Linked DNA regions of Arabidopsis thaliana. The protein of the gene in region 1 interacts with the protein of each later gene in a pairwise test. Each region holds a gene or a part of one and is shown on either strand. Other genes may lie near its edges.

Region 1 (5,789 bases):
GGGCTCTTTTCAAATTTTGTATGGATCTAAATTCGAAAATAATCCATTAAACCATTGTTTATAATATTAAATAACCAATAACAAAAAAAAAAAAAGTTCTCGCCTTCTCGGTTTAATCTTCATTCCTTTTTTTTAATACTCTTTTTTTTTAATTTGTTGAGAAATTGGAGATTAAAAATAAAGCCCAAAATAAAATAAAAAACCCCGGCCCATTAACAGTTAGTATTAAACAGCTTTTGCAACAGACGGCGGTAAACGATAAGATGGTGTTTTTTATGTCGTATCCGCCGACACGGCGGCAGTTAGTAGTGTCGGTGGGTTTTTTCGCGGCGGGCGTTTCTCTCTTCGTCGCCGGAGCGTATCTCTCACTCGCCAACATCTCACCGCAACAAGCTCGCGTCAAAGCTCGTAATGATTTCGTCAAGGATCGAATCAGGAAATGGCTCGACGATTAGTGTCTTTTTTTCGATCTTGTAGGCGTTCTAACTCTTAAATGATATAAATCAAAAGACGATTTCGTGTAAATTCATGCTCTTACATGTTTGGATCATTACCAGTTCAAATTCATGTTTTATGTCACTTACAGATGAGAGAATCACTCTTGACAAAACGAGCGAACAGAGAAAAAATGTAGATGTAAAGTCTTTAGATTCTGTTATCTCTGCGCTGAAAATGTGAATAAAATTTCTTGATCATATTACCATCTTGATTTTCTGGCATTCTGGTTCTCGCCTTTCGAAGCATCCGATAACCGCGACTTTGAAACAGATCCACCGCGGAAGTTACTTAGTCTCGAACCCGAGAGGATATGGTGATCTTTTGAAGAAGCCTTGTTTGGTTTATAAGCTTGTGTTTCATCTATATACCCTTTAGGCTCAACGTCAATAGATCTTCCCCAATCCAACCCTCCATCTCCACTTTTTTGAAGCTTCTCGCTCTGTACAACCCAATCAACACAATCCGATATGCTTCTTTGTAAAGAAAGGCTTTTCCTTGGCGTTGATTTTCTTCCTCTGTTCTCTTCACCATAAGGCCATTTATAGCTCTTGTTGTCTATGTTCAGTTCTATGGAATGAAGGTCGCTTTCGCCTGAACCTTCTTCATTTCCATTCTCGACTTCTCCATCTTCGATGTTATATGATCCAAAACTGATGTGATGGTTTAAATAATCTCCAGCCTCTTCGTTATGTAGCTGAGTTTGAGGTGGTTCACGGGTCTTCTCTTTACATCTTTTTGCTTTGAGGTAAGTTTGAAGCTGGTTTCTTAGCTTATCAACAGCTGCGTTTTTCTCCTCGAGCTGGTGTTTAGCCTCCGATAGTTTCATCTGTACTCTCTCTTCCCGCAATGCATCTGCTAACTGCAACATCTCTCTTTCCTTTTCGACTTCTTCTTTGACTTTAAAAGATTCTCTCTTCAGTTCTTCAACTTCGGCTTTGTCTTCGCTTATGTCTCTTGCTAGTTCATCACAAACTTTCTCAACCATCACTCTCGCTCGCTTCTCGTTCTCGATTTCTTTAACTGCTTTCATCAGAGCTGATTTTGTTTCAGCCAATTCTTTGCCCAATTTCTTGTTCAAGCTCTCAAACCGTCTCCTCAGCTTCCTCTCCACTTCTAGCTCACCAGCAACAGATTCGATTGCAGCCTCAACAACTTCTTGCTCGTTGCTTTTCCACACAGCTTTCTCTTCGGCAAAACGCTTCATCAAGTAGCTAATGTCGTTGTTTTCCGGTTTATGTTCGTGGATTAACTGATTGACCTGTAAGCGAGCTCTTTCGAGCTCAGAATGTAAAGCAGAGACGAGGGACATGCTAGAAGATGGGCGGTCGTCTTGACCCCACATTCTGTTAATGATTTTGAGAAGCTCTTTTGATGTTGTGAGAGCGTTACTACAATCCTTCAACCGTGTTTTGACACCCACAGTTGACCCAGTCGGTGTCTCCACCCGTGATCGAGTCTCAATCTGCATTGGAAAAACACATTTCAAATATTTTTGAACATCACTCTCTTGCACACATATTGATTTATAGATGATGGAGGCAAATTAACTAATCATAACGGATTGAGTGTCTCCTAGTTTCTTATACCGTTATTTGCAATGTTTCTGTGCATAACAAAACAAACCATAGATTATGTGTACGTATGCTTCCAAAGTAAAAAAACCAACAGCCTCTGGAGCCAATAATGCTCAATAATATACTACTTTCATCCTTAATCAAATACCAAATTTGGTTTGAGAAAATTATGAAAACTGCTAGAAGAAAGGGTTCCTCATAATGCTCAAAGAAACATCCCCAAGAGTGAAAAAAAAATAAAAAAATCAACTTACATCCATGAAGCTGCCACTGTTAATAGGATCCCTAGCCCCCACATTGCAGTCTCCAAGCCTAAGCTTTTGCACAGTTGATGAAGCTCTTCTCTGGCGACTCCCAGTCCCTGATCTTTCCATCCTCTACAAAAATCAACAAGTTTCTCAGCTATCCAATTACCTAACACACAGAAGTAAAGAAAGCAGAATTCTTCGCATTGTCCATTGCCAGATTTAGCATTATATATAATTTTTCTTAGGTCTCCATTATAAGAGAATCTAGGCCTACATTATTCACAATAAATCAACCTCTAAAAAACAACCAGCTACCTCCATATGACCAACGAATGAGAAAGAATAAAAACTAGTAGAAGTGCCCAATTATGCAAGAATAATAGGCACCAACTTATAAAGAAACGCCCTTTCATATAAACATAAATGTGCGTTATAGAGCACATGACAAAAGATTCTTAAGATCAAAACAGTTTTCTATTCTTCTCTAATCCCACTCCTTAACATCAACCAGAAGCTTATACGAATAATAATCTCCCTTGATGATTAAAATACTCATAGAGGTTGCCAAAAAAATCACAACTTTGACTAAATTCAGACCTTAGAATCACACAAAGATTATCAATTTTATCAGTTAAAGATGAGATCTTTATAACTTCCCCGAATCAATCAATACTATACTATATATATTATTGTTTTTCTCTCTCTCTTTTGATCGGTCAGAATTAAAGCACATGGCAGCCAGCAAGAAGTTGGAATTACAGCACATTCTCTTCCTCTCAACCAATCATAACCAAAGCATTTTACCTCAGAGACTGGACTATGCGACGGATCAGAAAGATGAGGCGGTAGAGAACCAGAATGAACCGATGATCTCGGCGGAGGAAGCGGCGCGATTCTCTCCTTTCTACTCTTTCTAATCATTGGCGCAGCCTCCTCCACAACTCTAGGTGAAGGCATCTCGTTCATCTCCCAAAGCGTCGCAGCTAACTTCCTAGCTGAAACAGGAGCAGGAGCTGATACTTTACCGGTTTTGCTCCCGCAGTGAGACGACGGAGAAGCAGCAGCGTGTAAAGCACCGGAAGCTCGTGGAGAAGGAGATCGACCCATAAGTCTCCATGTAGGTACAGGAGTAGTGGATCCTCCTCTTTTACCAACAACTATCGCTCTTTTGAATCTATAACCTTCACGGAGAATCGAAGAAGTCGACGATGTCGGCGAAGAACAACCACGTTTCCTGATTTTGCCAAGTAGAAGTAGATTCTCTACGCTTTGATTCTGCCTCGGCATATTCAAAACAATTGTAGATCTTTCTCTTTACCTGGAAAAACAAAAAGCAGATTCAGAAAATTTCACCGATCTGTTAGAAAAAAGCACAAAGACCAAAATTGAAGTTTTTAGAGTGAGTAAGAACACTTACAGAAACTTCAAAGCATTTCTATGGCTTCTTCTTCTACTTCAGAAGATAAAGTTGGAATGGGAATTGGGGGAATTTGGAAAGAAATGGCGGTTGCTGTGTTTTGAGGTTTTTTGATCAGACTAGTGTACAGAGTGTTATGTTAAAGTGAAAAGGGGAAAGATGACAGGAGTACTCATCTTCTGTGATAAGGAACACTGTAACATGTCCACGTGGTTTGATCTGTATGGATTATGGATGTTGCTCCGTGATTTACAGGGTGGATGATTTGTAAACCGACTTAAACCGAAATAATTGAATCGAAAACCGGAAATCACTTCCTTTTTATCGGTCCTGAAATAAGAGATTCTCAATTAGAAAAACAAACTAATCAACAAATTTCTTTAGTGAAGAACAAACTTATATAAATAGTATTTAGCAGTAAACATTATTTATATTTGGTTAGTATATGGTAAGAATTCGAATGAAATAGATCCTAAGTTCAATTTCACATGTTAAACCAAAAATTATGTAGATGTCATGAATTTATATCCATATTTCACAAAGTTTGACGGCTCATTGAGAACAATTATTTTCGATTAGAAGAAAGTCCATCTGCCTAAATAAAGGGAACTAGTGCATCTAATTTTATATTTGACCAAAAATATTATGCTCGTCTATGATATACTATGGGTTAATTTGGAGATTGGATCGTGTTTGTACTATATAGGGTTTCTTAAATGACGTGTTTGAGTAGGATGCATTAGATTTTAATCATTTGATACACAATTACATGAATCGATAAAAGACCAAATAATCTAAGGTTGTTCTTTTTACCAAACCAAGATTTTTAGGTTATAAGAAAATAGTTCCTTTAGTAGATTCCTAATGTGGACCAAAATATCTTGTTAATCTCATGCTTATGACTCCTAAATCATATGATCATGTTCCTATATGAGGTATATAATATACCATTTTTCTCCATTAGACGAGTGTGAGTGAGAACCGGTGTGCTTAAGTTACTCATTACAAAATGTGTCTACTACTATTCCAAGTATATAGATATTCATTTCAATAGGTTTTGAAGTTTTATCTATACCCACAATTTCACAAATCACAACCCGTTATAATTATAAATGAATATTGATATTACAGATTTACACTCGTGTAATTGAAAAATGGATGACCGAAGTATTCATGTGAAACCATGAATATTAAAATGCATGTATTATTTTTTTTATAGCAGGATGATCAGATATGATTTCCTAGTTTTCAAGATATTGCATCCATAAAATTCACAAGTTAATTATTTGATCAAACTAAACAATTGAAACTGTAAACGTTACAAAGAAAGATAACACGGCCACACTTTTTTCCGTTGTCAAATGGACACGTCCAAGTGGAGGAGATGATTCAACATACACAATCGTACCGTATTATTGTTCAACTCTTTATTGTTGTAAACGTTTTTTGTTTGGGTCAAGTCTCTTTATTGTTGTAAACACGATTCTTTCTATAGTACTTTCTGTCACATAAGTTTTTTTTTTTTTTTATGGTGAATCCGGAAACAAAATCTGTTCGAAAAGACAATTCAACCTAGAAATAGTTGGATCTACATCATATCAAAATATATAGGTAGCAATCAATATAAAACATTAAATATATGAACAATGTAAGACTATAGTGTTAGATACAATTGCGTACAAAAAGTTCAAAATATATATGAGTCAGGCCCAACTAAGATATGAATGCCCAATAAAGAACTAAGAAATTGGTTGCCAGAACTGTATTCCTATGGGAGTCTTCTTACTTCTGACTTCTAATTTCTAACAACAATTTAGTTTTTTTTTTCTCTTTTTTTTTTTTTTTTCTTTTGGCTGTCAAAGATCTAAGTTGTAATAGTTTTGTCATTTGATGAACTTTTCAATTGTAATAGCTGACTCAAAAATTTACCCAATCACCATCAGTATACCTTATGGTATGAATGCATGAATCTATGGTCTACCAACCATCAATCTTTCACTTGCTCCATTACCCAACTATCAACATCTACTATGATATATGACAGAAATGGAA
Region 2 (5,552 bases), on another chromosome or scaffold:
CACCTTCTTGACCGCACAAAACGCTTGAATAAGGAAAACAAAAACAGAACACAGAGTTTTATTTATAATATGTATGTATGAAATGAGTGTAATGTATCTACGGATGATGTGTAAATATTATGGAGAGAAAGAGAGTGTTGAGTCTTTGAGAAATCAAAATCGATAAAGGGTTTATGATTCTAAAACAACTCAAAAAGTATAATTTTTAGTGTTTGCTTAGAAGCTCTATCTCCAATTTTTGAGGGTTTGTTTGGCTTTGTTGAATCTTTATGAAATAAATTTGACCAAGAGTAGATGATTATGAGAGTATTTTATAATCTATGTGCTTCACTTTTGCATCGAAGATCTGTTTTCAGACTTTAATCTACAATTTTTAGAGTGTACTCAATGAGGTATCAAAATCAATGAAATGATGGTTACTAGAGTAATTGCAAAAATTCATGTATGTTTCCAAGCTCTGTTTGTGACTTGCCTTTTCAGGTTTTAAGGTTTATTTTTAGGCTATTTTCCGTTAATTTTTTTGGTTGGTTTAGGAGATCAAAAACTTCATAAAACTGGACAAAGTGTTGGTAACATAACCTAAAAACTGTATAAAGAGAGCATAATACGATATTCAGACCCAAAACGCCAAATAACGCAAACTCGATAAGGAAAAGAGGGTTTAATGGGTTAGTGAATTCTTCAGCGTTTTCAAAACGGTTGATTTCAGTTTCTTGTATCGTAGATGACACGAACAACGTCAACAATCTGAGCTCTGCAAATCGGACATTTCCCTCCACTCCAATGTAGTTCGTTGGCACATTTTAGGCACATGCACATATGTCCACACCTGTACAAAACCGCCTCGACCTGTGTTTCGTCGCAGACGCAGCATTTTCGTTTCATTGGGTTTTCTTGGTGAGCCTTGTGTTGCAAGCTCGCGTTAGCATCTAAACACGTTTTGACAGAATCTCGTAGTACTGACATTTCTTGCTGAAGCTGTTGGATCTGTGATCTCATACCGCTTATCAGCTCCATTTCCTGAAAACGTTTATATGCGGCTCAATGAGTTTACCACTAGTGCGGTTGCGAGTTTCTATAGTATAACAAGAAATCGATAAACACTCACAGGTGACTGAGGATTCTGAACAACCAAGGCAGGAGTGGAAGTAACATCAGTGTCTTGAGAACTCCATGATCCTGCAGGAGACGATGCAGATATATGTGAAGACGACGATTGGCTCAAGTCATCTCTATCATCTTGCTCTTCACCTCCTCTTAATGGCTCTTCTTTGATTTCTTCATCAATTTCAAAATTTACTTCCTCCTCTTCTTCTTGTTGCAATTCCCATTTTTTGGAGTGCTTATCCGAGTGTGTCTGTACACGGGACATCATGAGATTATCGATCTTCTCTCGCAACCCGCTGTCGAGGAAATCTGTCACCGTTCTTCTGTATTAAGCAGGGAAATTCATTTTCTTAGTCAGTTATTAACCATTAAGAAACATGAGCTTGTCAATTTTGATGGTTACTTACCGCTCAAGGAGTCTGCATATGTCATCTTTCTCAGACCTAGTGTTCATTACTTCCAGGTACCGTGACTTCCTCAATTCCTCCCAGTAACTCCGAGGCCTAGCTATTTCACTAAGCCAGTCGTCGTTATATTCTCCATAATAAGACTGCTCATCTGCATACTCTTCTTGTTCTCCCCATCTATTCAAATAGGATGTTTCTTGTTGATCAAGGCACTGGTCCATCTCATTACTCTCATGAACTAGACCTTCTGTTTCTCGAGTTTCTTGCATATACTTTCCCACATTGTTCTCGTCTTGATTCTGTCTCAACCGCGATTCTCGAGATAAATATTCACTCGGGCTAGTATTTTCTTCTTCTTTCTTTTCAGACTTGCCATCGTTGCAAGTTTCTTCTACTTCTCTTGTTTCTTGCAGCTGAAGGCAATTCTTTTGTGAATCAACTGTTCCACTTACAGATTCTTCTTCCTTACATAACGTTGCTTCCTCTATCTTGCGGTTACGGGGTCTCAACCGCTCTGCGAAAAAAGCTTCGAGAGTAACACCACCATCCTTTAACCTCGTGCTTGTGGTAGTAGTTCCTTCTGTTTCTTCTACGGATTTGTTGTTCATCTCAGTGGATCGTTGATGATTCTTCCTCTTATCTGTTGCAGCCGCAGAGTTTACTACGTTCGCATGAAATTTCTCCCTGCGTTGCCAATCAAAGATTGAAAATCTGAAGAAAGTAAACCCTAAGAACTAAACTCAAAACATAAAACAGAGAATCTGAAAAAACCTTAAATGCAGAACAGCAGAGCCTGATTCAATTCGGTTTAATCCGGTTGTTTTTGCGTTAGACCGGTTTCTATCTTGAATCACAAGACAGCGATTGAGGTTCCTTAACCTTAGCATTGACTGGTTAAATAATGTAATTAGAAAAACCATTTAGTGGATTATGAATAAAGTCACAAATATGTTAGTTATTTTTATCAAAATAGTGAAAATATAATTTACCTGGAGACGACCACGTTGAGTAAACCTAGAAACTGCGTTGCGTTCAAAAAGCGAATCCAATTCACGGTGGCGATCACGTTCCATTTGCATAAGAAAATCGGTAAACGCTTGTCGTCCTCGTATCTTCGGAGAGAAACTAACCACCGGAAAATTACTTTTCTCCGATGACGACGAAGTGCAATAAGGCCTCGGCGTTCTGATAATCTCGAGTCCACCGCCACCGCCGCTGCCATTATCTCCAGCGGTTCGTTTCTTGTCTTCGTTGCTAAGCCTCCGAATTAGGTCAGCGACTCGTCCCCATTTACTTTCTCCGGAATCAGAAACCAAACCATGTGACCTAGATTCAATCTCCACCGTTCGATCAGCAATTTCAGAATCTCCATCGATTGATGAAGATTCTGAAAGACCGGAATCTTGAACACTAACTCCTGAATCGCTCCGACTACTACTACTCGCCGTAGATTGACTGCTACTCGGCGAGTTTCCACCGTTGGATCGGTTTAGCCTCGCCTCCCATATCTGAACCAAAGAAGAAGCCACAAGATTGTCGTTTCTCTTCGATTCTAACGGAGATTCAAGAACACGATTGTTCTTGTTATTGTGAGTTTCGATCCAAGAATCAACTAAATTCTCATCGGAGACATGAGATTTCAAAACCTCTTTCACCGGAGATTTCAGATTCTTTTGAAAAACGCCAGCGTTTTGGTTACGATCTCTTAAGATTAAACCGAATCTCTGAGGAGAAGACACCATTTTTTTACGATCTAAGAATCGAACAAACGAACATAAAATCAAATAATCATTAGAGTTTTTGAATCGATCGAAAGAAGTTAGAGGACAACTCTGTTTTCTCTGTCTCTCTACAAGAAGAAGAGAAAATGGATTTGTGTTAGTGAAGAGACAGATTTTTCTCTCTGTTTTTTTTTCCTGTTAAAGAAACAGAACAACAACAAACAAACGGTGGAGATACGATGATGATGAAGAAGCAAAACAGAACCAAACAGTATTTGTGCTTATCTATTTAGTAAGAGGACTTATAAATGTTAAGAGTCCTAAAATGGCTCTGTTTTGTCCCTTAAACTGGGGAACGTGTCTGTAAAACAAGGCAATAAAGAATGAGGTGTAAGAATACAGAGAAAGAAAAGCCTTATGTGGCCAAAAGTGATAAATTGTTATAGAAAAATAAAAAAGCTACTTATAATTTTGGACAAAATTGAATTTGAAAGATATTGTATAACACATGTCATTATACTGGTAAAAGCATTTAATTGTGTAATGCATGAAAAAATTAACATTGGATTGTTATACTAATTAAAGGGTGATTAAATTATTTAATAATTAAGGCTCCTAAATATGCTAGAGTCAAAAAGGAGCCGTTGAGGAATTTAGCCGTTGTCGAGTGGGAACCATGCACTTTCTGGATTTTATGCCACATCATAAATCAAATTGAAGAACTAAAGATAACAAACAATTTTAAATTGTATAACTGACAGGAACAAAAACTTTTAAGCAAAGTAAAAATAATTTAATTAGAGAAAATTAGATGTTCAACCCAAGTTTCATGTAGTGTGCGATTTTATTGTAGTGTGGTCAATAGGCCCAGGCATAGTGGTCAATGTCGTGCTTGGGTTAGTCGAATAGAGAGAGAACTTAGGACGAGTTGTGATTTGTGACTCTTATAAAACGATTTAAGAAAAAATAGTCTCTATACAAAATAACGATAATTGAAACCAATAATAAGGTTCACAACCGATCATTTTCGGATCCCGATGAGTTAACGATTAGTCAACGATAGAGTAAAACGACCGATTAATCGAGACTTAGTGTCTATGATATTGGCACATACGACATATATTTCGTATATATATTTCAGGTAACTGGGTATCGTTTATATTAGTTGCGGCATATGTGATAATGTATTCTTCCACACTTCGTATAGCTAGCTGACAATCTTTTTTCTTAAAGTTTAAGTATTAGGAAGTATTATCCGGTAGATAAAGAAGATGGACGATTGAAAAAGCGATTGATACGATTTTTCTTCTGTGATTTTTCCGACCGGCCGGCGTTGGTTCCGACTTCGATTGTACTCTTTTCTCCTTTATAATTCTAGCAAATATTAGTTTACATACATATATTTCAGTTATTAACAATGAGTTCTAGAGAATCAACTGCTTTTGGTTGGCCTCTTTTCACACTGTTGGCGATTTTCATGACCCAAAAATTGAGTTTTCTACAATTATTTGTAAGAAATATAAATTATAAAAACTAGAAAAATATATGAAAAAGTTTAAGGTTTTGACTAGTGAGAATTTGTTGTATAGTTCAAAAAAACTCAAAATTTGAACGTTTGAAAACTTGTTGAGATGCATCAATTTTCAATAAACGTAGCCTATGGTGAATTGTTTTTTTTTTTTTGTCAACATGTCTCTAATGGACCTATTTTTCCGTGCTAAAAAATGTGCAGAGGTAATATCGCTATTTTTGTTAGAGGATCTGAGCAAATTCATTATTAATGATTGTGCAAAAAATTTGTTAATTTCGATATATCACATTTTGCTTTACGGATTACTCGAAAACATACTTTGATGTCATCATCCAGTGTATATATACGTATGTTAATTGTAGACAACAAAATAAAATAATAATAGTCTCACATAACCGACCAAAAAACAAACAAAATTAAATCAATGGAAGTTGTTGACAAATAAATTTTACAATTAATCTAATCCAAATAAGTCAAAACCCTGATTTCAGTAATGTAAAGATCATTATATCATTTTTTCTCTTGTAAAAAGGTTTTTTAAAATTATACTATTAATATATATCATTTGATCAAAAAAAAATTATATATCATAAACATTATATACGACATGCAGGCAAGTCACTCGAATATTCAAATCTTAAAGTTGTGCCTCCCACGTAAAAGCATCACATTAGTTTCCAAACCCAATTGTATATATAAATTACTACACAACACACCTCTCATCAAACAAATTCATCAAAGCCAATCAAATTGAGAGAGATATCAAGAAAGCAAAATAATGAAGTT
Region 3 (4,321 bases), 1.7 Mb from region 1:
AAGAAATTCTAAGATTGAAACAGAGATTCTAGCAAATTCGAGAGATGCAAGTCAAACGAAGACTTTTTTTTAATTGAGTAAATCATTCGAACCCTAAGGAAATCCACAATCGCACGGCAACTAAGACGGAAACACCAAGAAACAAATCAAACATGAAATTTATGAAATAACTTACAGGTATTCTATCTGGATATTTCGCAATGATGTTGTTCGACTCCTTCAATCTCTCATCTATATCCTCAAACAAAGATGAAAACTTTGCTTCAGAAGCACATTTCGAAGGAAAAAAAATTCCAAAGAATCAGAAAGAGATTAACGAAGAACAAACCAGAGGAGAATTGATCCTTGAAAGACTTGACAACAATCCCCATTACAGATTTCACGACGAATGATTCCTGACCGAATCGGTGTTTTTTTGTTTGCAGAGAGCAGAGGAAGAGGATGTGTTCAATTTTATGTTTGGTTAGTTCGTTTTTGATTGTTCGAGAAGAAACGGTAAAAGATGAGAGAAAAGAGATTATTTATAGAAAGACGACACGCACTTATCCACTTTTTGGACTTGTCCGATTTCTTGTGCACGTCACAGTTTATCTATGGGCCTCTATTCATAATTTTGGGCCCATCAAAATATATAACACGCATAGCTGCAAGAACAATCAAGTGTATTACAAACTCTTTTATTCTACTCTTTCAAGTGAGACATCGATCTCTCCTTGCAGAGAGAGAGAGAGAGAGATTCACACACAAACCGCAATCATCCTGCCGGAAGATTCTCCATCTCTTTTGTAGCAACAGTGCGATCCATAAGCTTTTGCCTCTCTTGTTCCAAGTAATAGATCTTATCATTCATACCTTCTTTTTCATACGCCTCGACCATGATCTCAAACGTTCTTGAATCGCATACGCATTGTCTCTCCTTCATTCTTATGTACACTCTTTCCATCTCTATCAGATCATCTGCTTTAGCACACGCTGATATCACCGCGTTGTAAAAGGCAGTATTCTCGGGTATCTCAAACTTAGCAGCCAACTGAACACTACTTATCACCTTGTGGAAAAGACCGGCATTGGCATATCCGTTTATGAGACAGCAAAAGGTCTTTGTGTCTGCTTTCATACCTTCGCTACGCATCTGATCAAATGTCAACTCCATGTTCTTTGCATCACCAACATCCGCAAACGCCTCGATGATATTGTTGTAGGTTGATGTTGTCCACGGAAACTCTAGCTTTCGCATGTATTCCATGACAGACGACATCTTATCATACATTCTCTTCTTCCCATAAGAACCAATCAAAATATTGAAAGTCCGAGTCTCTGGCTCAATCCCAAAGTTCCTGAACTTTTCGTACCAGCTCTCCATCATGTCTATCTTACCCATGTTTCCAAACACACTAAGGATGATATTCATAGTCCACACATCGGGTTTGCAAGCAGTACTCACCAACATATCAGACAAAACTTTCTCCATCTGATCAAACCTTCCGACCCTACCGTACCCACTTAAAACTATGTTCTGGGTCACAGTGTTTGGAGTTATCAAACGCTCGTCCATTTCCTTGTATAACGAATCCACCAAGTCAAACTGAGAAGCATCCACACAAGCCTTGAGCAGAGTGCTGTACGTGAAAACATCAGGTTGGCATTGAGGAAAGCTTTTCATTTTATCAAGAATTGAAAAAGCATCGTCGATGAGATTGCTGCGAGTGTAAGCAGCGAGAAGAGCAGTGTAGAGTTCAACAGTTGGTTCAAGTCCTTCTTCAAGCATTTCGTCGAACAGCTTCTGTGCACGATTGGGTTGACCAGATTTACCGAGAAGAACAAGCAGCTTCATGTAAGTTCCTTCCTTTGGTTGATAAAATGTTTGTTCCCTCAACATATCAAAAACCTAAGATCATCAACAAAATACCCAATTCAATCAAAATCATCTTTCAGCTAAATTATACTCGTGATTCAAAATTGAGTTCAAATTCAATCAAACATGAACGAGAAGAGAGAAAATCGAAATACCTCGAGAGCTTGTAACCACTGCTTTTTGGCGATGAGATCGGACAAAGTTTCAGTGACGGTGTTAACCCATCCGTTAGCTTTGCTTCTCCTGTCAAGTTTCTTCTTCACATTCTTTATCGGAGTTCTTCTCTGATTAACCGGCTCCGTGATTCCGGGGAATTCGCCGTCTTTCCAAAGCCTCTTCTTCGTAACACTTCCCGGAGAAGATTTCGAAGCAGCCAAAACGCATCTAACGATGCCCACATCTCTGTGACGAAACCTACGCTTACCTTCGGGGATTCTGGATGAACATAGCGAAGAAGAAAAGGAGAGAGACATTGACGCCATCGTCTTCTTCCTTCACACCTCACTGTCACTCTGTTTACGGATAATTCCCGTCGATACTCATTTCGGTTGGATATGGTAAAATACCGGTTTATATAACCGAACCGGAAACACATTTGATCCGTTCAAATCCCTTAAAAACCGGATCGTATTTTTAAATATGATCACATAATTGATCATTTAAAAATAATACGAGGCTATTTTTTTGGTGTTCAAAAAGATAAAAATAATAATATGAAGCTCGCATCTCTGTAAGTATATATATATATAAAACTAAAAGGAAAATCACGAATTATAGTATCAAAAATAGATTTAATAATAAAAATAAGGATTGGTGACTGGTGCACAAAAGGTGGTAACAAACAAACACAATCTTGACTAAATTCTATAGAAATATCCCAAAGAAAAAAAAAACAAATCCAGAAAAATATTGTATATTGATTTTGATGATGTCGATGTTGATGTGCAGATATTACTCTTTTATCTATTGCTTCCGTTGGAGTTTAGTTTTGTGGCAACAGTCTATTGTATGACTATCTGGGGATTTGGGAGTTTATCCGGCCGGCAAGCATACATTCATTGGTGTTGTTTGCAACGTTTACAACATTGTTATCATCTATCTTTTATTTACCATAGTAAGCTCTCTCTCTCTCTCTGGCTCTCACTTATTGATGAATATATAGATAAGTAAACTATTAAACTGGTTTTGATAAGTTTTTAATGCGTGAAACAATTAGGACAAAATGCCGCCGGAGACTAAGACCTTCAAGTACATGCCGTTTTGGCTATCGTTAGTTCGTTTCATCAACGCTGGAATTTGGACTGCTTATTCTTTGATCTACATAATTGATATCTACGTCCTTGTAAGTCCTTTTTTGTTTTTGTTTTGATCTACATAATTGATATCCTTTTTTGTTTTTGTAAGAAGGGCGAGCTAAAGAGTTTGAAGAGCTTAAAGGCGAGCTGAAGAGCTTAAGGCGAGCTGAAGAGCTTGAAGACGAGTTGGAGAGCTTGAAGACGAGCTGGGGGACTTGGTGAAGAGAACGAGTTGATAAGCTTGACGAAGAGGAGCGAGCTAACGAGCTTCTTGAGAAGGGCTCGCTGACGAGCTACTTGAGAAGGACGAGCTGACGAGCTATTTGAGACGGACGATCTTCGTGAGACGGGCGAGCTGACAATGTGCTGTCTCGGTGATAGTCAAGCGAGACGACACGTAGTCCATATTAGAAAGGGGTCAAGCCACACGTAGTTCATATTAGAATAAGTGAGCTAGGCCGTCATTGGAGGTAGGTCGGCAGGTAGTTGACGAGCCGGCAGATGTGCGACAAGCTGGATGAACCGTGGTAGAGAGACGAGTTGGATAAACCGAGTTGTTTGCTGAAGGTCTAGACGAGCTGGACGACGAGATAGGTGGACTATGCAGTCAATGGACGAACTGCCGCTAGGCGAGGAGGTAGATGAGTTTTGTTTTCGAGGGATGAGCTGATAGCTAGACGAGGAGTTGGACGAGCTGTATAGATGACAGCTAGACGAGGAGATGGTCGTTGAGTGGAGCATGAAGACGAGCTGAGAAGCTTGAAGACGAGTTGAGGAGCTTGAAGACGAGCTTAGCAGCTTGTTGAGCTTAATGGCGATCTGAAGAGTTTGAAGAGCTTAAAGACGAGTTGGAGAGCTTGAAGACGAGCTGAGGGACTTGGTGAAGAGAACGAGTTGATAAGCTTGTCGAAGAGGAGCGAGCTAACGAGCTTCTTGAGAAGGGCTCGCTGACGAGCTACTTGAGAAAGGCGAGCTACTCTGTGTCTGCGTGTCAGGCGGAATTCCCCCCTTCGACATGACATGCTATTCCGTATTTATAGCACTACGCGTGTAGGGCATTCATCGAGGGATTTGACGAAACTACCCTTCGCCTTAATACTCCTCCTTGGTTTGGAACTTATTTTGGGCTTTTGACTTGGGTTTGGGCATTGGGCCAAGTAGGCCCAATCCG

The links. The genes of interacting proteins can lie anywhere in the genome.
Region 2: the proteins of AT3G11590 (region 1) and AT1G30860 interact in a two-hybrid assay, tested with the Arabidopsis thaliana proteins (one large-scale study listed by BioGRID).
Region 3: the proteins of AT3G11590 (region 1) and PPR2 interact in a two-hybrid assay, tested with the Arabidopsis thaliana proteins (one large-scale study listed by BioGRID).

What each region holds. Positions count from the first base shown.
Region 1 is NC_003074.8:3,658,446-3,664,234, reverse strand, and holds AT3G11590 (golgin family A protein), read right to left. Parts: upstream 3,938-5,789; 5' UTR 3,738-3,937; intron 3,639-3,737; 5' UTR 3,608-3,638; coding exon 3,125-3,607; intron 3,072-3,124; exon of another isoform or gene 2,450-3,071; coding exon 2,327-2,449; intron 1,961-2,326; coding exon 698-1,960; 3' UTR 501-697; downstream 1-500. Other genes in the region: AT3G11591 (bric-a-brac protein), read left to right, coding at 264-455.
Region 2 is NC_003070.9:10,985,991-10,991,542, forward strand, and holds AT1G30860 (RING/U-box superfamily protein), read right to left. Parts: upstream 3,604-5,552; 5' UTR 3,257-3,603; coding exon 2,504-3,256; intron 2,405-2,503; coding exon 2,286-2,404; intron 2,199-2,285; coding exon 1,515-2,198; intron 1,431-1,514; coding exon 1,109-1,430; intron 1,021-1,108; coding exon 706-1,020; 3' UTR 506-705; downstream 1-505. Other genes in the region: RSH4 (root hair specific 4), read left to right, coding at 1-28; AT1G30870 (Peroxidase superfamily protein), read left to right, coding at 5,545-5,552.
Region 3 is NC_003074.8:1,955,904-1,960,224, forward strand, and holds PPR2 (Tetratricopeptide repeat (TPR)-like superfamily protein), read right to left. Parts: upstream 2,402-4,321; 5' UTR 2,338-2,401; coding exon 2,011-2,337; intron 1,889-2,010; coding exon 755-1,888; 3' UTR 506-754; downstream 1-505. Other genes in the region: ATG8H (Ubiquitin-like superfamily protein), read right to left, coding at 176-231, 329-371.